4 linked regions of the Drosophila melanogaster genome follow. The protein of the gene in region 1 binds, or shares a complex with, the protein of each later gene. Each region holds a gene or a part of one and is shown in the gene's direction. Other genes may lie near its edges.

Evidence for each region.
Region 2: mof (region 1) and MBD-R2 share a complex: the UniProt entries of both Drosophila melanogaster proteins name them as parts of the non-specific lethal (NLS) histone acetyltransferase complex.
Region 3: mof (region 1) and msl-3 share a complex: the UniProt entries of both Drosophila melanogaster proteins name them as parts of the male-specific lethal (MSL) histone acetyltransferase complex.
Region 4: mof (region 1) and mle share a complex: the UniProt entries of both Drosophila melanogaster proteins name them as parts of the male-specific lethal (MSL) histone acetyltransferase complex.

What each region holds. Positions count from the first base shown.
Region 1 is NC_004354.4:5,873,311-5,878,770, reverse strand, and holds mof (males absent on the first), read left to right. Parts: upstream 1-1,917; 5' UTR 1,918-2,018; coding exon 2,019-4,502; 3' UTR 4,503-4,931; downstream 4,932-5,460. Other genes in the region: Usp30 (ubiquitin specific protease 30), read left to right, coding at 1-725, 966-1,165, 1,224-1,341. UniProt on the Drosophila melanogaster protein: Histone acetyltransferase that catalyzes the formation of the majority of histone H4 acetylation at 'Lys-16' (H4K16ac), an epigenetic mark that prevents chromatin compaction and constitutes the only acetylation mark intergenerationally transmitted.
Region 2 is NT_033777.3:12,351,615-12,358,063, reverse strand, and holds MBD-R2 (MBD-R2), read left to right. Parts: upstream 1-1,798; 5' UTR 1,799-1,920; coding exon 1,921-3,145; intron 3,146-3,218; coding exon 3,219-3,869; intron 3,870-3,933; coding exon 3,934-4,066; intron 4,067-4,119; coding exon 4,120-5,450; intron 5,451-5,519; coding exon 5,520-5,689; 3' UTR 5,690-5,921; downstream 5,922-6,449. Other genes in the region: CG10041 (uncharacterized protein), read left to right, coding at 6,001-6,449. UniProt on the Drosophila melanogaster protein: Component of the non-specific lethal (NLS) complex, a multiprotein complex that promotes expression of housekeeping genes on X chromosome and autosomes.
Region 3 is NT_037436.4:7,122,674-7,127,525, reverse strand, and holds msl-3 (male-specific lethal 3), read left to right. Parts: upstream 1-1,992; 5' UTR 1,993-2,103; coding exon 2,104-2,205; intron 2,206-2,322; coding exon 2,323-2,501; intron 2,502-2,567; coding exon 2,568-3,125; intron 3,126-3,183; coding exon 3,184-3,680; intron 3,681-3,735; coding exon 3,736-3,820; intron 3,821-3,875; coding exon 3,876-3,993; 3' UTR 3,994-4,313; downstream 4,314-4,852. Other genes in the region: BBS1 (Bardet-Biedl syndrome 1), read right to left, coding at 1-107, 190-1,257, 1,321-1,600; form3 (formin 3), read right to left, coding at 4,569-4,852. UniProt on the Drosophila melanogaster protein: Component of the male-specific lethal (MSL) histone acetyltransferase complex, a multiprotein complex essential for elevating transcription of the single X chromosome in the male (X chromosome dosage compensation).
Region 4 is NT_033778.4:5,974,742-5,982,307, reverse strand, and holds mle (maleless), read left to right. Parts: upstream 1-1,529; 5' UTR 1,530-1,613; coding exon 1,614-1,689; intron 1,690-1,748; coding exon 1,749-2,265; exon of another isoform or gene 2,266-2,607; intron 2,608-2,670; coding exon 2,671-2,989; intron 2,990-3,630; coding exon 3,631-4,321; intron 4,322-4,839; coding exon 4,840-7,118; 3' UTR 7,119-7,214; downstream 7,215-7,566. UniProt on the Drosophila melanogaster protein: RNA helicase component of the male-specific lethal (MSL) histone acetyltransferase complex, a multiprotein complex essential for elevating transcription of the single X chromosome in the male (X chromosome dosage compensation).

The sequences.
Region 1 (5,460 bases):
AGAGCACCAGTTTGCAGCGATTGGTGCGTTCCGAGGCCCACACACCGGATTCGCCTGCCTCTGTTTGCGAACGCGACGGAAACGATCGCCTGGGATCCGTGCTTCTGGATGCCGTTTCGCCAGGGACACCCTTTGGCTTTCCGCTCGTCAGCAATCCGGATTCCTTGGCTACGCCTATGTTGGGCGGCGAGCGTTCGTCGCGACCGCGACTTCCACAATCCCAACAGCAGCAGGATGAGGGTCTGAATCGCCGGGTGTCCAGCTCCTGTCGATCGCTAGAGCGCCTGCATCGCGGACCAGGTCGGGTGTCCATCTGGTCCAACATGATGCCCAGCCAAGTGGCGCATCCGTTTCAGGGCGCCATGGGCGCACAGATCGTGTGCAATGGCTGCGGCTCCAAGTCGGCCGTTCGGTACGATAAGTTCGACAGCATAACGCTAAATCTGCCGCCGCAACGCAGAACTGGCTTGAGTTTGGGCCACTTGCTTAGCGAGTATATCACATCGGAGGATCTGAGCGATGTCAAGTGTGACTCCTGCAACGAGACCACCACGCACACCAAATCGGTTACGTTCGCTAAACTACCGGCCTGCCTGTGCATCCATGTGGCGCGGACGGTGTGGCTGCCAACTGGACAGGTGTGCAAGCGGAAGGACTATGTACACTTCCCCGAGAGCCTCTCCATGGCGCCCTACAGCTTCGTGCAGCCGCATCTCAATAGCCAGGTGAGCGTGTGTTGCATATGTTTGCCCCAGAATAACAAACTTCCCCTGTAAAAATTATCCTTATATATGATCATTTAAATACATATATCTAAAGGATATATATGTATAGGATATATCTATAGAATATAGGTCTTTCCTTTTCTAATTGGTGTACAAAGAGTAGTGGCATTCAATTCAAGAACTGTTTACATTTAGTAACTAGCATATTGTTAAAACAAACACTTTTGCTCATGATTACAGGCTGGCACTCCCTGGGGCTCGACAATGTCGCTGTATTCCTCCAGCCTGCCGATGAACAATGGCGTTGGTGGTGGCGAGGGCTTTGGCACGATGTTCCCCAAGAATCTTTACCGGCTTCTGGCCGTGGTGGTGCACTCCGGGGAGGCAAACAGCGGTCACTTTGTAACCTACAGGCGTGGCTCGTTGCGGAACGCACATCGGTATGGTTTCCATTGCCTCTGTGTAATAATTATGCTAATTCTGTGCTATCCTTATTAGGTGGTACTACACATCGGATACAATTGTGCGGGAGGTGAGCATCGACGAGGTGTTGAGCGTCCCCGCCTATCTTTTATTCTACGATCGTGGCCAGCAGAGGCAGCTAAATCTGCGCTAGTCAGGTGTAGGTCGTCGGTATTATTCTAGTCCATACTTTTGATGTGATGAATATGAATATCCGAAACCAAATCCTTTTCGTCGAACGGTGGCCATAGCAAACACGCGTCACATTTATATAGATATATATACATAACTCATATAAGTACGGGAACCCACGATGATCTGACCTATACTCGGCGGGTTCATGTAATGGTCTCCGCATAATCCAAACTCTGTGTACGGCTTATTGCATATAGGAACTCCCTATCGTAACAGAGAGCTCGACTCTTCATTTGTTATCTATGCATTTAAGATTTTTTAAGAATTCCAAATTCATGCCGTGCTTTTAGCTGTCTGTATTTAGCAATGTACACAAATCAACTACCAATAATTGTTTGCGCGTTAATTCTGTAGGATAGATGTTCAATAAAAATTTCGAAATCAGTTCCAATTTTTTAAAGTGCTTTCTCTGAAGGTTTTGGATAAATAAAATATATTATAATACTGAATGCACAGAAAAATCCAGAAGGGTAATTTCAAAAAGGGTGCAAAGTATTGTACATCGATAACCACCGATTAATAATCGATTATCTGGACATGTTGTGATAAATCAGGGTTGCATTTCACGCCGTATTTCGTTTCATTTCCCTAAAGAGTGAACAAAAATACGCAATTGGACAAATCTAGTGGCTAAGAATGTCTGAAGCGGAGCTGGAACAGACACCCAGCGCGGGCCACGTGCAGGAGCAGCCGATTGAGGAGGAGCATGAGCCGGAACAGGAGCCAACCGATGCGTACACAATTGGCGGTCCGCCGAGGACGCCGGTTGAAGATGCGGCGGCCGAATTGAGCGCCAGTCTAGACGTCAGCGGCTCGGATCAGTCGGCGGAGCAGTCGCTCGACCTCAGCGGTGTCCAAGCGGAGGCCGCGGCGGAGTCAGAGCCACCGGCGAAGCGCCAGCATCGCGACATCAGTCCCATTTCGGAGGACAGCACGCCGGCGAGCAGCACATCGACTAGTTCCACCAGGTCGTCCAGCTCCTCCCGCTACGACGATGTTAGCGAGGCGGAGGAGGCACCACCGGAGCCCGAGCCGGAGCAACCACAGCAGCAGCAGCAGGAGGAAAAGAAGGAGGACGGTCAGGATCAGGTGAAGTCACCAGGTCCAGTTGAATTGGAGGCACAGGAGCCCGCGCAGCCGCAGAAGCAGAAAGAGGTGGTGGACCAGGAAATTGAAACCGAGGATGAGCCCTCCTCCGATACGGTAATCTGCGTGGCCGACATCAACCCCTACGGCAGTGGTTCCAACATTGACGACTTCGTTATGGATCCCGATGCTCCTCCCAATGCAATAATCACCGAGGTGGTTACCATTCCAGCTCCTCTTCATCTCAAAGGGACACAACAACTGGGGCTGCCATTGGCTGCCCCACCGCCACCACCACCTCCTCCAGCAGCGGAACAAGTCCCCGAGACTCCCGCCTCGCCCACAGATGACGGCGAGGAACCACCAGCAGTATATTTATCCCCCTACATACGCTCTCGCTACATGCAGGAATCGACACCTGGCCTGCCCACCCGCCTGGCGCCGCGTGATCCTCGCCAGCGCAACATGCCGCCGCCAGCCGTAGTTCTGCCCATTCAAACCGTACTTAGCGCCAACGTTGAGGCCATTTCTGACGACAGCAGCGAAACTAGCAGCAGCGATGACGATGAAGAGGAAGAGGAGGACGAAGATGATGCCTTGACCATGGAGCACGACAACACTTCCAGGGAGACGGTCATCACAACAGGTGACCCTCTGATGCAAAAGATCGATATAAGCGAAAATCCCGACAAGATCTATTTTATTCGGCGCGAGGATGGCACCGTGCACCGTGGCCAGGTGCTTCAGTCTCGCACCACTGAGAATGCGGCCGCTCCCGATGAGTACTACGTCCACTATGTTGGTCTCAATCGCCGCCTGGACGGATGGGTGGGCAGGCATAGGATCTCGGACAATGCGGATGACTTGGGCGGTATTACCGTGCTGCCAGCGCCACCATTAGCCCCCGATCAGCCAAGTACTAGCAGGGAAATGCTCGCCCAACAGGCCGCCGCGGCGGCAGCTGCCTCATCCGAACGGCAGAAGCGTGCGGCCAACAAGGATTACTATCTGTCCTATTGCGAGAACAGTCGCTATGACTACAGCGACCGCAAGATGACACGCTACCAGAAGCGGCGCTACGATGAGATCAACCACGTGCAGAAGAGCCACGCTGAGCTGACCGCCACGCAGGCGGCGCTGGAGAAGGAGCACGAGTCCATTACGAAGATCAAGTACATTGATAAGCTGCAGTTTGGCAACTACGAGATCGACACCTGGTACTTTAGTCCCTTCCCCGAAGAATATGGCAAGGCACGTACGTTATATGTTTGCGAGTACTGCCTAAAGTACATGCGCTTCAGGTCGAGCTATGCCTATCATCTGCACGAATGCGACCGCAGGCGTCCGCCCGGAAGAGAGATCTACCGCAAGGGCAATATATCCATTTACGAGGTGAACGGCAAGGAGGAGTCACTATACTGCCAACTTTTGTGTCTGATGGCCAAGCTCTTTTTGGACCACAAGGTTCTATACTTCGACATGGACCCGTTTCTCTTTTACATCCTTTGCGAGACGGACAAGGAGGGCAGTCACATTGTGGGCTATTTCTCCAAGGAAAAGAAGTCGCTGGAAAACTACAACGTGGCCTGCATTCTGGTATTGCCGCCGCATCAGCGTAAGGGATTTGGAAAGCTACTAATAGCCTTTAGCTATGAGCTGTCGCGCAAGGAGGGCGTAATCGGTAGTCCGGAGAAACCGCTCTCGGATCTGGGTAGGCTGAGCTATCGCAGCTATTGGGCATACACGCTGCTGGAGCTGATGAAAACCCGCTGCGCTCCAGAGCAGATCACAATCAAGGAGCTGAGCGAAATGAGTGGCATCACCCACGACGACATTATCTACACGCTGCAGTCCATGAAGATGATCAAGTATTGGAAGGGCCAGAATGTCATTTGCGTTACGTCCAAGACCATTCAAGACCACCTCCAGCTGCCGCAGTTCAAGCAGCCCAAGCTGACCATCGACACCGATTACCTCGTCTGGAGTCCGCAAACTGCAGCGGCAGTGGTCAGAGCTCCGGGAAATTCCGGCTAGCATACGGAACCTGGAGACCCCGTTCTGCTATCATCGCATATAATTGTTATTGACGATGACGATTAGGTTTTTTTTTTTTATTTTTTTTTAAAGAAAGCGTAGGAATAAGCTATTCTATTGCACCCCTCCAAACGAAAAATGTATAGTCATATATCTAAATGGAACCATCAGAAGGTTCAATGTAATACTTAACATTTGGTTTACAATTTTTTTTTTTTATAGTTAAGGAGTTTTACGGATAGGCTGTTGTAACTCTTAATGATAGAACCAAATGTCTAATTCGTTTGGCTAATGTTTTTGGAGAGGGAATTTGGAACAACCATTTAAAAATTTTAAAAACTTCTGTGTTCTTGAAATATATATCTTTAACTACTTTATCTCGAAAAACTCTGGACTTGTTAAAAACCAAATAAACTTCCACAGCAGCCGATATGCCGACGCCTGAAGAGAATACATCTCTATGAACTCCTTACACGTAAGATAGCATAATCTCTCCACGGTACATTTTTATACACTATAATTAAGGAAGAGAATCCATAATATCTTTTAGGCTACACATTAGGTTAAGTTCAGAAAGAACTGAACGATTCCTACTGACTAATGAACAATAATAAATGATTTAAACTGTAAAAAAGAAAAACTCCAATCTGAGAACATGATGTACTTTCTCAAATAAATGCGTCGTTACATTAACGTCAAAAAGAGGAAAAATTAAATAAATATTTACAACGACAGGTTATTCTTTTCATTATTTTTGCAACACATTTCTTGTAGGTTAGCTTAATATGTATATTTTGATATAATAAAAAATATATATAGAAATATCGAAAACATTGGAAAAACAAGTTTAAAATTTCGAGCATTAAAATCCATTGCTAACCCTCTCCTCCCTAGCGTCATAAGCAATCGGTTATCGAGGTTATCGATAACGCCCGCATCGATACAATTCCGCCGGCTT
Region 2 (6,449 bases), on another chromosome or scaffold:
ATTTAGCGATAATATTTTTGGGTAATAATCATGTGATAAGGAACCGGGAAACTGGGCCCAACTGTCAAGAGACGCGCAGCCAGCCTATTACCGCATTGCATGCCCTCATATTTACGCAATGAGTTCCCAGACGGTATCGGAATGGGGATCGGGATCGGGAGAGGGAGAGGGAGAAGGGGCTGACTTATGGGCTATGCGGCTGGGACCGATGAGATGAGGCTGGGGAATGGGCCTGGCCAATTTGTCGATGAGTTGGGTAAATATTAAAGGAGAAAGTGCCGCCGTCAGTTGGACCAAAAGTTTTGTACTCTCCTTGTACATATTTCTGTTTTCGGTTTTCTGTTTTTGAAAAATATTTTTGCACAGGTTACATATTGTTGAATTATTTGCACAAAAAGAGAGTGAGGTCAGGTGCAGTCGTCCCAATTTCATCGAGTGTCGATAATTTATGCAAATATGTTCACTAATAGTTATGCAAACGGAAATCTAACCGTGTTTACCACCCATTTTGGATTTCCCTTCGAGTGGCCCCCTCAATGTCAGTTTTTGACTGACCAAAATTTATAAAATGCTAAATTATTCGGCTTAGCAACGTCAATTACTCACGTTATTTAATATTTATGTCAGCTGCATATGACAATAAAAGCATTTTATAATTAAAGTTTGCTTTATGCTCCAGCCGTGATTTGATTACAAATATTGGCAATCCACTGAATCAAAGTCAACACCATTTGATATTGGCTCCGTGTCAATTTCGCAAACACGCCCAAGATCTAAAAGTCAACCGATTGACCCAGAGACCTCGTTTTCAGGGAAGTACCCAAAAACAGGAAGCTCTTCGACCGTGAGTTTCCGGCTATCATTCTAAAACAATATTTGTAATGGAACTAAACTGTTTAGTTACGGAATTCGAGGGGTCAAGCCACATATATACATAAGATATTGACACAATATAGAGAATCTTAATATTTTATTCTTTCAAAATGTGCCATCACATTTTCCTCACATATTTCGATTTGAAGGCCAAAGCTCCATACTTCAATCGATTTTTTTGGCGGCTCAATCAACCGATCAAGCAGCAGGCGCCACATTTAAATTTGTCAGTTGTTTCTTGCATGCTAATGACCGGGTGAAATATTGTAATTAAAAACTACAATGAGTGTTTATTTTAGCAGTATGCGTAAATAGCTGCTCCTCAAACTTTGAAACCCAGTGTTGAAATACATATTTCCAGAAGCATTTGTCGAATGGATAATATCGTATTTGGTTAGCTTTTTGCAAGGTGTCTGCCTTTTGGCGAACGTGGTGACATGTAAGCCCAAAAGCGTACATTAATTGCATTTCAAATAGGCTTTCGGTGGCCTTGGGAACGGTGGCGTATCGGCACGTGATCCTTTTTCCGCCGAGCTGAGGAAATTTATGGCACCCTCACTTCGCTAAAATGCATTAACGCACCGATTAATATTAATTGTGCAGCGGGTATTTACCAACTTTAATAGTTAATTTATGGCAGGAAGATTGATGTAAAGTTTCATGAAAATTGAGATAGTCAGAAATAAAAAGTAATTAAATTCAACCTACTCAGGCTCTAAAGTAATATTTATTTATTTATCGAAAGTAGTATTTATTTATCACCACAATAAAGATCTATGCAATAAAGTCATTTAAAATTTATTTTTTATAAAATTCAAAAAATATCGTTAAATAGTTTTGAACTTTTCCAACAAGGTGGCAATATCTAACTATCGATAGTTTGCCGACGCACACGTTTTTACTGTACCCCAATTTGGTATCACTAATTTATTGCGCTGTATTTTTCTGGATAATTTTCGCGTCGTTTCCTGGATTATTTCATCACTTAGCAAAGTGTGCGTTTGCACATAGGCAAACAAAATAGAGAATTGGGTGAACTTCATCGCCATGGGCCGCCGGTGCTGCGTGGCCAACTGCCCGTCGACGTCGCGTCTGTTGGAGCACAACGGCGTGACTTACCACTCCTTCCCCCTAGATCCCATCATCCGCGCCATATGGATCAAAAACTCTCGCATCAGCCTGGAGCGCCAGATCACCAAGAGCGTGCTGGTCTGCTCACGCCACTTCCGCCGTTTGGACTTCAACACTATCCGCAATGGGAAGTATCTGCTCAAGCCGCGCGTCTTTCCCACCGTTTTTCCATGGGGCAAGATGGATACCGCGGAGATCGAAGCAGACCAACGGGCACTTCAGCACGCCAGCGTGGAGGGAACGACTGAAACCCCGGGAAATGCTCAGTCATCGACCAATGACGATGTGATCAAAGCTACGGTAGACCAAATAGTTGCGCAAATCCTGTCGGAATCTGCAGAACGCAAGGCCACGGAGGAAGGTAAAACAGGCAAGGCGGCGGATGACGTTAAAAATACTCCCGAAAGTGGAGAAGATGCAAACAAGGCAGCTGCAAAGGAACCCTCAGGGACTCCGGTAGCCGCAAGCAGCGAAGCCACAGTCCCAGCTCCTGGATCCGCTTCCAGTTCGAACTCACCTTTGCCCGGCACACCGCCCAAGTACAGCAACCCACATAACCTGACTATTGGCGCCCGTTTGGAGGCGCTCAGTGTGGAAGGCAACTGGTTGCCCGCCCGCATCGTGGAAGTTAACGAGACGGAGCAGACGCTACTCGTGCGCTTTGAGCGCAATCACAAGCTAAAGGTGTCACCTTCGACCAGCGGCAGCTTTCAGGAGTGGATGGCCATCAAGTCGGAGCGGCTGAGGCAGCGCCTCAGCAACCGTGTGCTGCCCGTCTTTGAGCTGGACGAGAAGTGCATGGCCCGCTGGTCGGGGCCGCGTAAGTTTCCAGGAACCATACGCAAGTTGCTGGGCAACGATACCTACGAGGTTCTCTTCGACGATGGTTACGTTAAGAACGTGCGCGCCGTGCACATGAACAAGATGCCCAAGCAGTTGCCCCCTGTTCAGGTAGCGGAAGAGGGTGCCTCAAAGTCACCCACTCCTGTTGGAACTCCAGTAAGCTCTGCACCTGTGGCTCCGAAGCGGGCGAGCACAGGCAGCCTTGGCGGATCCAGTGGCTCTTCGGGCAGCAAGAAGAGCAAATGTGCACCTCAGCGCAGGGATTGGCCGTTGCTGGACATGGCCAGTTTGGATATAGGTAAGAGCACCGAAAGGAGAATGTTAGTTTTGCCTTAAACTTAACTTTCATGTTTGACTTTCGTAACCAACAGCATCCCTTGGACTCCCAGAAATACCGCATGACGGCGAGTGGACTTGTCATTGGGTAAATGACCAGCCTATTGGAACCGAGGGTTTTCTGATTGTGGGCGAGCACCAGAAACCCACTGTTATCGTGCAGGATTGGCGTCTGCCTCCTGGCTGGATCAAGCACATGTACCAGCGGTCCAACGTCCTCGGCAAGTGGGATGTTATTCTGGTCTCGCCCAGCGGCAAACGTTTCCGCTCCAAGTCCGACTTGAAGTTGTTCCTTGAGTCCCAGAATCTGGTCTACAACCCGGATGTGTACGACTTTAGCATCCATCGACGTCGTGCCAAAGACATCAATGCTTACGTCTACACACACGGCTACAATCCGCAGCCACCGCCCAAGCCCAGGCCCATGGATGTGTCGATGAACTCCACGCTGGACCAGAGCATCACGTCGCAACATTCTTTACCTTCTACTCCGATGCCGGTGAAAGAAAGCCAGTACATGGAAGCACCGGTGGCCTCGCTTATGCCACCAGCTGAGTTAATGTCGCCGCAGACGCAGCCTGCCGATGAGACAAAGCCCAAGATAGAAGCAGAAATACTGGAAGCCAGTGAGGGAGGTACCTCTCAGCTTATGTTAGCAGATCCTCATGTGGTGGAAAATGGCTTTGGTAAGTATATGCAATTTGAAATAACATGTGCTATATTAAAATAAATTATAATTCCATATTTCAGCTTTCATTGGGGGCCTAAAAGTCAAAATCCAAGACAATCTTTATGTATGCCCGCGCGAAGATTGCGCCAAGACCTATCGCAAAGAAGACTTTCTGCTAATCCACATTCGCCATTATCACAAGGAGTTTGCAGAGTGAGTAATATTCATTCAAAACTCATGACACCTAACTTACTTTAAATCTACAGACACGTCAGCCACTGTCCAAAGATGCAGGAACTAGCGGTCAAACGTACGCACCCCTCATCCATCGATCAAGTTGAGGCGGTGCCAAAAAACCAAATACCCAACCAGCAATTCTTTGCCAAAATGCACCAGCAGGATTTGCAGCAGTCACGATCGTTTAAACGACAGAGTGTATCAGCTACGGCCACATCTTCAACGCCATCTGACATAACGCCTACTAAGGCCCTGTTATCTCCTAAGATGGAGCCACCAAGTGTGTCGCCAACTGTTGAAAGTGGCATTAAACAAGAAGATGTTTCTCTGGATGCTGGTCCAACTCAGTCGTTTAATCCTTCATTGAGTCGTTCCTGCAAGCGTGCACGCTTGTCGCCGTCGAAGCGGCCATCTGGCTCGCGAAAGAGTAACCGCCAGCGCTCTCAGCGTCGTCCCATTTTGTCAGATAACCCGGCTGGTCATGGCTTAACCGAACAAGATGTTGAGGAGACACGGCAATCTTTTAACACCCCCACTCCGGATACGCGCATCGACTCGAAAAAACGCCGCAGTGGTGCGGCAACAACTCCCATCAGTTCCATTGACTCACCAGCCATGGGAGATTCGGTGTCCACGCCATCATCTAATGACCAGACCGACATAAATGCAGCCCTTGCCCCACCACCAGCTGAAACGTTAAGCAAAGCACCACAGTACATCAAGGAAAATGGTGAACTAATTCGAATTGTGCGCATGCGGCAGGAGGAGATCATTAACTGCATCTGCGAGTATGGCGAAGAGGACGGCCTAATGATCCAATGTGAATTGTGCCTATGCTGGCAACACGGTGCATGCAACGGAATTGTCAAAGAGGCAGATGTACCGGACAAGTATGTGTGCTACATTTGTCGCAATCCGCAGAGGGGTCGGGATTCTATGAGATTTAAGCACGACCAGGACTGGCTATTCGAAGGCAAGTTGCCGGTGGCCGCGTATCACACTGCAAATCCACAGGCCACCAAACAATTCGAGCTCTTGAAGCGCTCGCACACGCTGACCGGCAATTTGCTAGATGCCAAGCGATCGATGCACTCGCTGCTGGTGAAGATTAACATCGCACGCAACCGCTGTCATCCGAAGCTTTATCTATGGGCCAAAAAGTGGGACGAAGACAATCTGGACTCTACTGCGTTGACACCGGTTAAGCGTGCAAAATTGGAGGCCCCCGACCTTCCGAACGTTCCGCAACCGGAAGCTGCCATCGATCCGGAGGAGTGCCAGTACCGTTTGATCGAGCATATCAAGGTGCAGCAATCCTTGGTTCTCGATCGGCTGAATGACATAGAAGCCGAAATGGACGGTTAGTATCCAAAACTAATTTTTGTCACGAGTATATATGAATCTATATATATTTTTGAATTTCTTTTAGAACTTGAAAAGGAGGACACGTTGGATGACTTAAAGGACGCTGACATCTCGACCACAAAAGAGGCGCTGGCCACGTTTATTAAGGAGCTCGAAACCATGAAGCGCCTTGCCAAGCTCAACCAGGTGGCCAATATGAAGCAGACCCTCAGAGATTCTGCCACTAGCAAGTAGCATTTCTATTGATCACGGTTATAGGGGTCTAATGAGGATTTTCTTTTAAGCTATTTTCGAACTGTTTCCATAATTTTGCAGACGTGTAGATAGTAACCGTACAAGCTTTTTCTCTTCAAAAAAAATATTGCTATACTTTATAAAGTTTGATAATATAATGGAATTTAAATGTATATTCTTTTAAAGTTAACCATGTGAGAATACAGAAAATTATAATTTCATGCCCAATTATAAAGTTAAGATGCTTGATGATAAAACCTGACTACAAGACGTCTTTGTGACGTCTTTGTATTCGTGACTTGGTCGCAGTTATGTGTTGTTGGCAATCTCTTTGCTCCATAGCTTGGTTCGCCGCGATGTCGGCAGCCCAGGAGACGCTTTCCGACACCCCGCAGAATAGCACACCTTTGTTAGCCACAACTGTGTCGACCACGAAGGTGATAAGTTTCCGCCCTCGTTATCCATACATCGTCTCCATAGGAGAGAACCTTAAAGGATACTACAAGCACCTTTGCGTGGGCGTTATACTTTCGAATGAGTTCGTGCTCAGTGCAGCCCACTGCATCCAAACGAATCCAACCAAACAACTGTACGTGGCTGGTGGCGCCGATTCGCTGAACAGCCGGAAGCAGACCCGCTTCTTCGTCGTGGAAAGAAGATGGCATCCCCAGTTTAGGGTGCTCGGCGGCAACGACATTGCCGTGTTGAGGATTTACCCCAAATTCCCGCTCGACGATGTGCGATTTCGTAGCATTAACTT
Region 3 (4,852 bases), on another chromosome or scaffold:
CAGGTCTCCAGATATCGTGCTCTCCGACGAGTTGATGGCATCGATGGTTGCTCGGGCTGCTGTGTGGCGAAGACGCCACAGCTCCACTTGGAAACTTCCGTAGGTTGCTGGAATAGGAAATGAAAGAATAATCTTGATTAGAACAATAACTATATAAAATTGTGTTATGAAAATAAGAGGGTTACTTACATTTGGCCTGCTGCTTCTCCCTTGCCGCCTGCTCCACAAAGATGGAGCTCTTCTTGGGCTTATCCAAAATCGAGGCATCCACGATGGATTTGTTATCGCCCAATGCTCGCTTGTTCGCCAAATCACCGGCCTTGGGCTCAAAGCGGGACACACGTCTCAGGATCTTAACCACGATACCACCAGATTGAGTAACGAGCGTGAGGACGTGATCCTCCATGCCCATTCGTCCGTACAGCATGGCATCCACCGTCTCCTCGAGAACAAACTCGTCGACGAGGTAGCGCTGCAAATAAAACTTGACCACTCCTCCTCTAAGGGCAATGGCCACCAGGGTGAGTCCCAGATGGGTCAAGGGCAGCGGTAGGAGGCAAACGGGTAGATCGGACATGGGCACCTGGTATAACAGCTTGCCCCGCTTTGAGTAGCACAGATAGCGATTGTCCATGGTGGAGGCGATTATCGTCTGATCGATGGGCAGCAGTAGGAGGCCGGTTAGGGGGATGCCGAGCTTGAAGATCTCCTGTCCCTCCGATTGGCTTTTCCGCAGGAGGTAGACACCGCCATTTCGCGTGGCCACCACGATGCAGAAATCCGTCTCAAAGGTTCCCTGCACGGAGATCAGGCTCGGCACGGCCGTCTCATCATCGCAGGCCTTGCCCTGGTAAACCAAATTGAAGCCCTGCGGCTCCAGGATCATGATGTGCCCGGTATCGGTGGCCAGGACCAAGTGGGACGGGGGATTGGCATCGCTGGAGATGCGCTTTATGCAGCACATGGCCACAATGTTGCCAACCCGACCCACTGGGGAGTCCTTGTGCGTGGCAATGAAGTGCTCCCGCTCCTGCTCGCCCATTTGCAGAAGTCGCTGCGATTTCCGCGACAGCTTGGAGTGGTCTATGGTTTTTAGGGAGTCAAGCAGGGCGGGATGGGCACTTGGCTTCACAACCGGCAGTTTTCGCCATACCTCCAGCTCCAGATCCTCGGAGTCCTGTGCGGGAATCGTGTACTTGAAGTATGGCTTTAGGTGACGATAGAAGAGCACTGACTCAGCGATGGCCACGGCAATTACTGGAAAATTGTATTCATTATGGAATCTAATTTAAAAATATTAAAATGCAACGTTATTTCTACCCGGCGTCTTGGGCTCCGTTTCGTCGATGTAGAGACTTTCAATGGCCGCTGGAATCCCCGGCAGTGGCTGCTCGTGCTTGAGTTTAAGACCACGGAAAACCTTCAGCGTGGCAGTGGGCTCCTCGGCGGCATTGTCCAGTGAAATGTCCGCCGCCAGCAGCCGGACATATCCGTCGCACTGCACGTCGCTCAGGGCCATGCAACTGGTGAGGGTGGTGAGATGCGGTGGAGGAGCCTCCTCCGCCGTGTCCACGTGAAGCCAGTTGGGAGCACCGGCCATGGCAGGATCTTGGTGAAAAATTTGCAGCACAGTGTGAAAACGAACAGGTGATTCAGGACATGCTTTTGTTTTGGTTTTTCTTGTCCTTAGCAACCGGGATGACAGCACATTTTTTGTTACTTATTTGGGTTTTTTCTTAAAAACACAAAATGATCGTCAGCATTATTCTTAAATGCTAACAGGGTAAAGCTACGTATAACTAAAAAATCATTTGGCAAAAGGTAAAACTGTGATCAAATTACTGATGATAGAAAATTTTATTTAAATTGGCCGCCAAAAATGCATTTTGTCTGGTCACACTTAAGGCCGGCCTGCTAAAGACGTGCAAGCATCGACAGTATGTGTTATCGATAAGTGCGAGGGAATATTCGATACCCACGTCAATTGCTTATCGCAAAAAACATTCGTTATAAATATCATCTCAGCGACGCCAGCAGTTGAATTCAATATTTAACATTTTGTATACATAAGTGACTGACTACGGCCCTATTTAACTGCAAGTAATGACGGAGCTAAGGGACGAGACACCGCTCTTTCACAAGGGCGAGATAGTCCTTTGCTACGAGCCGGATAAATCGAAGGCCCGTGTTCTTTACACCAGCAAGGTAAATACACATGCACACACACACACACGCGCGCGCATTGAAATGTCAAGCAAACGTCGTAGGCGAAGTTTTCACAAATGATTTTCCGTTTCCCGCAATTTTCCGTACATGCCGCAGGTGCTAAACGTCTTTGAGCGCCGGAACGAGCATGGCCTGAGGTTCTACGAGTACAAGATTCACTTCCAGGGCTGGCGTCCATCCTACGATCGCTGTGTGCGCGCCACCGTTCTATTGAAAGACACCGAGGAGAATCGCCAGTTGCAAAGGGAGCTGGCCGAAGCTGCCAAGCTGCAAATGTAAGATAACCCCCTAGACATGCGTGGAATACCTCTCTAACGAGTTCCCCCTTCTTTTTCGCACAGTCGTGGTGACTACTCCTACAAGGGCACACCCGATAAGCCATCGGCCAAGAAGAAACGCGGCGGAAAAGCGGCCCACGTTGAGGAGCCAATAGTGGTTCCAATGGACACGGGACATCTTGAGGCGGAGCACGAAATGGCGCCCACTCCACGAGCAGCGGGCAACCGGACGCGGGACAACAGCGGTGGCAAGCGAAAGGAAAAACCCCCGTCCGGAGATGGCCGATTAAAGGGAAACCGGGGCAGACAAACAGAGACCTTTTATAACAATGCCATAAATGATGTATCGGTCTATAACCATGTGCCACAGGAGGATCGCATTATGATGCGAGTCAGCGAGCGATTGCGAGAGCTTATAGAGTACGATCGGAATATGATCAAGGTACTAGGCAAACAGCACGCACTGCCCGCCCGCGTGCCCATCGTGACCATCATGGAAAACTTCGTCAAGCAGCAGGCCGTGGAGCTAGCCATTAGCATTAAACAGGACAGCTCGAGGGCCAGGAACACGCAGAGTCGCAATGCCAGAATGGAGCGGGAATACGATCGCGTTATGTCCACGTTGGTTACCACTCAATATCAGACTTAACAACCCACTTATACTCTTACTTATTAACAGTGTCTGCATGCTGAAGGAGGTGGTAGACGGATTGCGTATCTACTTTGAGTTCCACGTGGATGACCACTTGCTGTATACGGAGGAGAAGGAGTATGTCCACAACTACCTCACAGACGACAACATGCGCAACTGCAGCCTAATATTGAACAAGTCGTACGAGTATATCAATCCCAGCGGTGACACGGAACTGATCGGTCTGGACGGCACGCCAGTGGTAGAAGGGTCGGGCGACACCAATGGACAGATCGGAGTTATTAATATCGGCGGTCCGGAGTACGAGAAGCAGTTGCAAAAATGCCTGCTCTACATTGTTACCGCCAGCGGGAAAAACACTGCGCAGGCCTATGAGAGGACTTCCCCATATACGGCTGCCTACAAACTGCCCGTGGAGATGCGTGGATTTCTGAACGAAACATTCAAGTGGCGGCTTTTGTCAGCGGAATCGCCGCCAGAAAAGTCCATGGTCTTTGGCGCTCCCCACCTGGTTAGGCTAATGAGTATGTACAATCTTTCTTGCATTCTATAACACACATTAATTCATGGTACTTGCAGTTAAAATGCCCATGTTCTTAAACGCATCGCCGATCAGCAACAAGAAGCTAGAAGATCTACTTCCCCACCTCGACGCCTTCATCAAGTAAGTCTAAGACCCCTCCCTAGTCCATCACGAAGCTAATCTGTTGGTTTTTCAGCTACTTGGAGAACCACAGGGAGTGGTTCGACAGGGAAAACTTTGTTAACTCCACTGCCCTGCCCCAGGAAGATCTGCAGCGGGAGCTGTTGGACTCCCTGGATGGGATTGCTGCTTAGCTTTAGTTGATCGTAGTTATCTAGTTTATTTATTATTACGATTAAAGCTTATGCTCTTTTATTTAAAGATTTGTAATTGTCGTTTTGGTTTCTTCAACTACACACTTTGTAAACAACGCACTTCTATAAAAAAGTTTCCTAATGTGATCGTATAATCGAATAATGCCTATAACTATATATGTTAAATATTGAAAATACGATTTTAACATTTTTTTTTGTTTTTTTTTTTTTTTTTGCTTAACCTAAGTTTTAGTTGAGTAGTACATGCTAGTATTTTTGTCATGCCTTGTTTTTTGTGCTCAAATATATTTAAGAGTTGGAAAGTTGTTGTCTTTTGTATTAAGGATTTGCGGACCTTGAGTTGGAATGTGCAGGGAATTCTTAAGATTTGTATAATTTCTCAAAATATTGCAACTGTAACAACTATGTGTGTGCTGATTTGTGTTTCAGATCCTGCTTAGAAATTCGAAATTGTCGCTTGGACGGCTTGGAGTTGGATGCATTCGCGTTTGTAACATGTGTAAACTTGGGACGTTAACTTGGACGATGACTGAACTGGACTGGACTGCCGGCCCTCACTTCTGTCGCTTGGTGGCACTGCTGGCCGTGGGTCGCATGAAGCTGCTCACGGATCGACTGCTGCTAGTGCTCCTCTGCTGCGGACTGGGGTTCGCACTCATCCTGGCCTGCTGCTGCTGGTTCAGGGCATTTTTCACCAGCACCACGCTGCGAGCGGCGCTCATTCGGGACTGTGACTGGGGTTGGGACTGGGACTGGTTTTCCTTAAAACTGGTGCTACCATGGATACTCGATTTCGGAGCCGTGTTGGACATCTTGCTGCGCACCAAGATCACACTGG
Region 4 (7,566 bases), on another chromosome or scaffold:
GTAGCTGCGAGATCAGCGCTTGGGTGTTGGCACTAAACGCCGCTCTCACTCGATCCCCTCTTCACTGACTCTCTGCACTGCTTACAATTTGTGCAAGTTGCTATCGCCTTTTCGCTCAACTCTGTTTTACTGGGCACTAACGAAATTAAATGCTTGCCCACGACCAAACGTGTGCCTGTGTGTGTGCGTGCGTGAGTGTTTTCTCACTTTTATCTACATTTGCTCGTGTGGGTGTGCGTGATGCTGGACTGCTGGCAACCAACAAAAATCCAGCTGTGTACCGGCGTTGGGGCCGCAAAAAAGAATTCAAACTAGGCGATTAAATGGGTGACTCGCGATTGCACTATTATTTAGTTGGGCTGGCATCCGTATTCACATTTTAACTCAAATATCGTCCTCTTTTTCCCATCGCGTTGCAAAAAGCTGTGTGACCAGTACGCGGACTCGAGAAATACCAAAAGACTGGGGCAAATATACTATAATACTGAATTTCAGTCATCATCTTTAAAATACTAATTTATTTCAACAGCTTGGATATTTTTATTTGAACAGAAATCAATGGTCGTGTCGCTGGTCAAGTTTAGTGGTCTTCTTGGTGCCAGAAATGACTATTTAATATATGATTATTTATGCTGATTATTATTTTTTTCATCGTAAATTAGCGTAAATTATTTAAGGATTCTAAGACCTGCTATGATATGAGGAATCTTTCTTGACGGATTGAAGGGCATAACATAGTCATATGATATCAATTATTCGATAATATTCTGTCCTACACATCTTACGCAAAAAACGGCTCAAAATTCGTCTACCAATTTGAATTGGAATTCCGTTTCTTTTGTTTTGCAATATTTCATTTATTACTTATACATAAAAGACTTCTCGGCACATAGGCATATACGTCAATTCAAAACAAACAGAACTGCATTACAACATAACTCCCTGATACAAGCTCATCCTTCAACATACCACATCAAACTCCTTTCAACAACACCACATCACACAACAGGAAAACGATATTTCTTATTAACAGTCTCAGGCTTGATCACATCAACCTTACAAATGACCATTACAAGAACAGGTCCCCCATATATATGTATATGTATTTATATGCGCTCTTTGCAACCAGTTAGACGTTAATCCCATCCTAGCATACTGTTCTTCCCTTTCGCCACATAGAACAGTTGACATCAACACAATTAGAAACTTTTTAAAAAGCTCCAACCTAATTTAAAAAATATAAAATGGAAGGTGCTAGCTGCTAATGCATCTAGGTTTCAGTTACCTTAAAATTTTATACTCTACGTTATATTTAAATAAATAAATAAAAGTATATATATAAGAAATTTGTCTGTTTATTTATAGTGCAATATATACAAATATGTCTAAGTCTCTCTATAGGTTTCTTTTATTTTAGATTAAATTACATTAAATGTTTTTATATCTACACACACTGTTCTATTTTATCCGTTCCTATTTTGATAGGCGATTCAAGACGCGTTAGTGTTTTGTAAAGCAACAAAAAAATTAATCGATATCAGAATAGACATCACAAAAGAAATAAATTTAATTTGAGCTCCGTAGTTGATAGAAAGTTTATTGAAAATCTAAGAATGGATATAAAATCTTTTTTGTACCAATTTTGTGCTAAGTCGCAAATAGAACCAAAGTTTGATATTCGCCAAACGGGTAAGTGGTTATGTTGCACTCCCCCAGGCGTGTTTCCCAAGTAGCAGTTTAATTTATAGGTCCCAAAAATCGCCAGCGGTTCCTTTGCGAGGTTCGTGTAGAGCCAAATACCTATATTGGTGTGGGTAATTCCACTAACAAAAAGGATGCCGAGAAAAATGCGTGCCGTGATTTTGTCAACTACCTAGTGCGCGTGGGCAAACTGAACACCAATGATGTTCCAGCGGATGCTGGTGCTTCGGGGGGCGGACCTAGGACTGGTCTGGAGGGTGCGGGCATGGCAGGGGGCAGTGGACAGCAGAAGCGAGTGTTTGATGGTCAGTCGGGTCCACAGGATCTGGGTGAGGCCTATCGCCCTCTAAACCACGATGGCGGTGACGGCGGTAACCGCTACTCAGTAATTGATCGCATCCAGGAGCAGAGGGACATGAACGAAGCGGAGGCTTTCGATGTCAACGCTGCCATCCACGGTAACTGGACCATAGAGAATGCCAAAGAGCGACTGAACATTTACAAGCAGACGAACAACATTCGCGACGATTACAAATATACACCAGTGGGCCCGGAACACGCTAGGTATGTGCTTCCTTTTCAACTTTCTTCGGCCTGCATTTCGGATTTGACCGAATATGGCCTACGGCCAAATCTGAAATGCAGCCCATAATCATGTCGGGCTGTGACCAATTTGATTTGTGCAGAGCAGCGCCGGCAGAACGATGTGGTACGATACTCCGAACTACAAGAACCACGTCCAGCTTCCTTGCGTGGGGTCTGTAAGCAAAACGGACGCCCATGCAACGCGGCTTAGCTGACAATAATTCAAGCGCTGACTTTCCAGCTGCGTCTAACACATTAGTACCACGCCGTTCTGTCGGCTGGCTCCTTCAGCAGTCCGTAGACTCCCACGATAGCCCGAGGGTAAGTTCCGGATTTGATCTACATTACCAGTCCAGATTTTTTCAAAAAGTTCTTTTAATGTAGGAGCTTTTTGGCCGAATTGTCCATTTATGTGCCGGCGCTCAATCGCACGGTGACGGCCCGTGAGTCGGGTTCAAACAAGAAGTCTGCCAGCAAGTCATGCGCCCTGTCCCTGGTGCGCCAACTTTTCCATTTAAATGTGATAGAGCCCTTTAGTGGAACTCTGAAGAAAAAAAAGGATGAGCAGCTGAAGCCATATCCGGTGAAGCTTTCGCCAAATCTGATAAACAAAATTGATGAGGTGATTAAGGGTTTGGACCTTCCTGTCGTAAACCCGCGCAATATCAAAATCGAACTGGACGGTCCTCCGATTCCTCTCATTGTAAGTAATACGAAACTAGAAAACTAAAATAAAAATGTATCAGCAATTTGAATTAAATTTCTTATCTCAGAGTATTAAAAAACAGTTTAGAGATTTTATCAGACAAAGACTATTAGCTAAATGTTGTATACCGGTTTCAATATTCTTGATGACATCCAACAGTACTTTATAAAGTATATATTATTATATTGATTTACGTAAGTCATATACTTAGGAATACGCTAGTAACTCCCACATCGTTCAGTCCCTCAAAAATATTTGATATGCCGAAACAACAATGCAAATACTTTAACTCGATTAATTTGTACTGCATACTTGGCTGTAACATTTGTATTTTTTCTATATATAGCTCTCAATACGCGTCGACAGACACCATAATCGACCTAATCCAATTCTGTGTTCAAAAGATATTTCAAAGAAGGTTTTACGCTACGTTAGCATAACTAAAATCTGCGTCTTTAATCTTAACTTTCAAGCTTTTGTTGTGATAGACTTGGCTAGTGATCTTGAACAAGATTATTTCTGTTATCTCTTACATTCATACCCTTACTATATGAGCATAGGAATACGCTGCCCTACCCAAACCACCTTTTTTTTGCGAACAAAAAATGTAGTGTACGATGTAAAATATTTTCTCCTAGGTGAACTTAAGCCGTATAGATTCCTCGCAACAGGATGGCGAAAAACGTCAGGAAAGCTCCGTGATTCCGTGGGCTCCTCCTCAGGCAAACTGGAATACGTGGCATGCCTGCAACATCGACGAAGGCGAACTGGCAACCACCTCTATTGATGACCTTTCGATGGACTACGAACGCTCGCTGCGTGATCGCCGCCAAAACGACAACGAGTACCGACAATTCCTCGAGTTCCGCGAAAAGCTGCCCATTGCAGCGATGCGGTCGGAAATTTTAACCGCAATTAATGACAATCCAGTGGTAATCATTCGTGGAAACACAGGGTGCGGAAAGACTACCCAGATTGCCCAATACATTCTTGATGACTACATCTGCTCCGGCCAGGGCGGGTACGCTAATATTTATGTGACCCAGCCTCGTCGCATTTCAGCCATTTCTGTGGCCGAGCGCGTAGCTCGCGAGCGGTGCGAGCAATTGGGCGACACTGTAGGCTACTCGGTGCGATTTGAGTCTGTGTTTCCACGACCCTACGGCGCAATCCTCTTTTGCACCGTGGGTGTGTTGCTGCGCAAGCTGGAGGCTGGCTTACGAGGAGTGTCGCATATTATTGTGGACGAAATCCACGAGAGAGACGTGAACAGCGACTTTTTGCTGGTCATCCTTCGCGACATGGTCGACACATATCCGGACCTGCATGGTAAGCTCGAATAAGGTGCAATATTTCTAACATAAATCCGTATGTATAACCTGCATTCAAATTTCTTGGGGTGAAACTCTTCGACAATTGTTGATTATACTTATATATTTATATATACATACATTTGTATATATGTATTGTATATATACATACATTTACATGTATAAAAAGCAATGTTGAGCAGATTTTGAGCCGCGAAAATAACTTATTTTGCACTAATTCACTGGCTTAATTAATGAAGATTATGATTATATTGTTTGTACCGGATCCGCCCAGAGTGTATATGTTATGTTCTTAATAGTCGATTTGTCAGTTTGTTCCATTGAAAATTTGCATTGCCAATTGTTTGTGTTTCATATTTAATGTAGAGTTGACTTGCCAAAATTACTTATGCCCAACAAAATTACTATTCAGAACTTAAAACTTATATGCATTACGGGTCATACATTTCTAGTCCTAATTTAATATGATATGACTTTTAGAAAACACTATAATTAATAGAAACTCTTCTATTGCAGTTATTCTTATGTCGGCCACTATTGATACAACGAAATTTTCCAAATATTTTGGCATCTGTCCCGTATTGGAAGTACCCGGAAGAGCATTTCCCGTGCAGCAATTTTTCTTGGAGGACATTATTCAGATGACAGACTTTGTGCCTTCGGCGGAGTCGCGCCGAAAGCGCAAGGAAGTGGAGGACGAGGAGCAATTGCTTTCCGAGGACAAGGACGAGGCGGAAATCAACTATAACAAGGTGTGCGAGGACAAGTATTCACAAAAGACTCGAAATGCTATGGCCATGCTATCCGAATCGGACGTTAGCTTTGAGCTGCTGGAGGCATTATTGATGCATATTAAGTCAAAAAATATTCCCGGTGCTATCTTAGTATTCCTGCCCGGTTGGAACCTGATCTTTGCGCTTATGAAGTTTCTGCAAAATACAAACATTTTTGGTGATACATCCCAATACCAAATTTTGCCGTGCCACTCGCAGATTCCACGAGACGAGCAACGCAAGGTTTTCGAGCCTGTTCCAGAAGGCGTAACCAAGATTATACTTTCTACCAACATTGCAGAGACTTCTATAACTATTGACGACATTGTTTTCGTAATTGATATATGTAAGGCGCGCATGAAGCTCTTTACTTCACATAACAACCTAACCAGCTACGCCACCGTTTGGGCAAGCAAAACCAATTTGGAGCAGCGCAAGGGCCGAGCTGGACGTGTCCGACCAGGCTTCTGCTTCACACTCTGTTCGCGTGCCCGCTTCCAAGCGCTAGAGGACAATCTTACGCCGGAGATGTTCCGCACACCGTTGCACGAGATGGCGTTGACCATTAAATTACTCAGACTGGGCTCCATTCACCACTTTTTGTCAAAGGCATTGGAGCCACCTCCGGTAGACGCAGTAATCGAAGCTGAGGTGTTGCTTCGCGAGATGCGCTGCCTTGACGCTAACGATGAACTTACTCCATTGGGGCGCCTGCTGGCACGCCTCCCAATTGAACCAAGACTTGGAAAGATGATGGTCCTCGGCGCAGTATTTGGCTGCGCCGATCTAATGGCCATTATGGCTTCGTACTCTAGCACCTTCTCAGAGGTGTTTAGTCTTGATATAGGTCAACGTCGCCTGGCAAATCATCAGAAAGCGTTGAGTGGTACCAAATGTTCCGACCACGTGGCAATGATTGTAGCTTCACAAATGTGGCGGCGCGAGAAACAACGCGGTGAGCATATGGAAGCTCGGTTCTGTGACTGGAAAGGACTGCAAATGAGTACTATGAACGTTATCTGGGATGCCAAGCAGCAGTTACTGGATCTCCTTCAGCAGGCAGGATTCCCAGAAGAGTGTATGATATCGCACGAGGTAGACGAAAGGATTGATGGGGATGACCCCGTGCTGGATGTGTCCCTGGCGCTGCTGTGCTTGGGTCTCTACCCCAACATTTGCGTGCACAAGGAGAAGCGCAAAGTGCTGACTACAGAGTCTAAAGCAGCGTTACTGCACAAAACCTCGGTGAATTGCAGCAACTTGGCCGTCACATTTCCGTATCCGTTCTTCGTTTTCGGCGAGAAGATTCGCACGCGAGCTGTTTCCTGCAAGCAACTATCTATGGTCTCGCCCTTGCAGGTGATATTGTTTGGATCGCGCAAGATTGACTTGGCCGCCAACAATATAGTGCGCGTTGACAACTGGCTTAACTTCGACATAGAGCCGGAACTTGCGGCCAAGATTGGTGCCCTTAAGCCGGCCCTGGAGGATCTTATCACGGTGGCGTGCGACAACCCTTCCGACATACTTCGCCTTGAGGAGCCCTATGCACAGCTGGTCAAAGTGGTCAAAGACCTTTGCGTTAAGAGCGCCGGAGACTTCGGACTGCAGCGTGAATCAGGAATTCTGCCGCACCAATCACGTCAGTTCAGTGACGGCGGAGGACCGCCCAAACGAGGTCGCTTTGAGACAGGACGCTTTACTAACAGCAGCTTTGGTCGCCGTGGAAACGGCAGAACTTTTGGAGGAGGATATGGAAATAATGGAGGAGGATATGGAAATAATGGAGGAGGATATGGAAATATTGGAGGAGGATATGGAAATAATGCAGGAGGTTATGGAAATAATGGTGGATATGGAAATAATGGCGGAGGTTATAGAAATAATGGTGGAGGATATGGAAACAATGGCGGAGGATATGGGAACAAGAGAGGTGGATTTGGAGACTCATTTGAAAGCAATAGAGGATCAGGCGGCGGCTTTAGAAATGGCGACCAAGGCGGCCGCTGGGGTAACTTTTAACGGATACATAAAAAAAATGTATTGGTTTTTTCAAAAACAAAAAGAATAATAAACATTACTATTCGCATTTCGATATGCTGAAGGGATTATACAAATAAGACGCATTGAATCTTTTGGTTTTTTGGCATTAAATACGCATGTGCGATCCGAATAGATTCACGAGTTAACGTATGTAAATAGTAACCAAATATGATAGTTCCGCTGACATTCCCTAACCTGTTGCATACATACATATATTGCTGGAATTTCGTTTGTGAAGGCGTGGAAATCGTTTATTGTCACAAAATGAGATCAAAAACATTCATTCTATAAAGGCTTTTGGTGAACCTGTGTAATCATTATTTTTTATCTCTGCTAGCATTTTAGACGATTACTGATTTCGCAATTAGACCTTTTTAAAACATATGTCATGACAACAATATATACAATAAAAAGCCATATATATGCA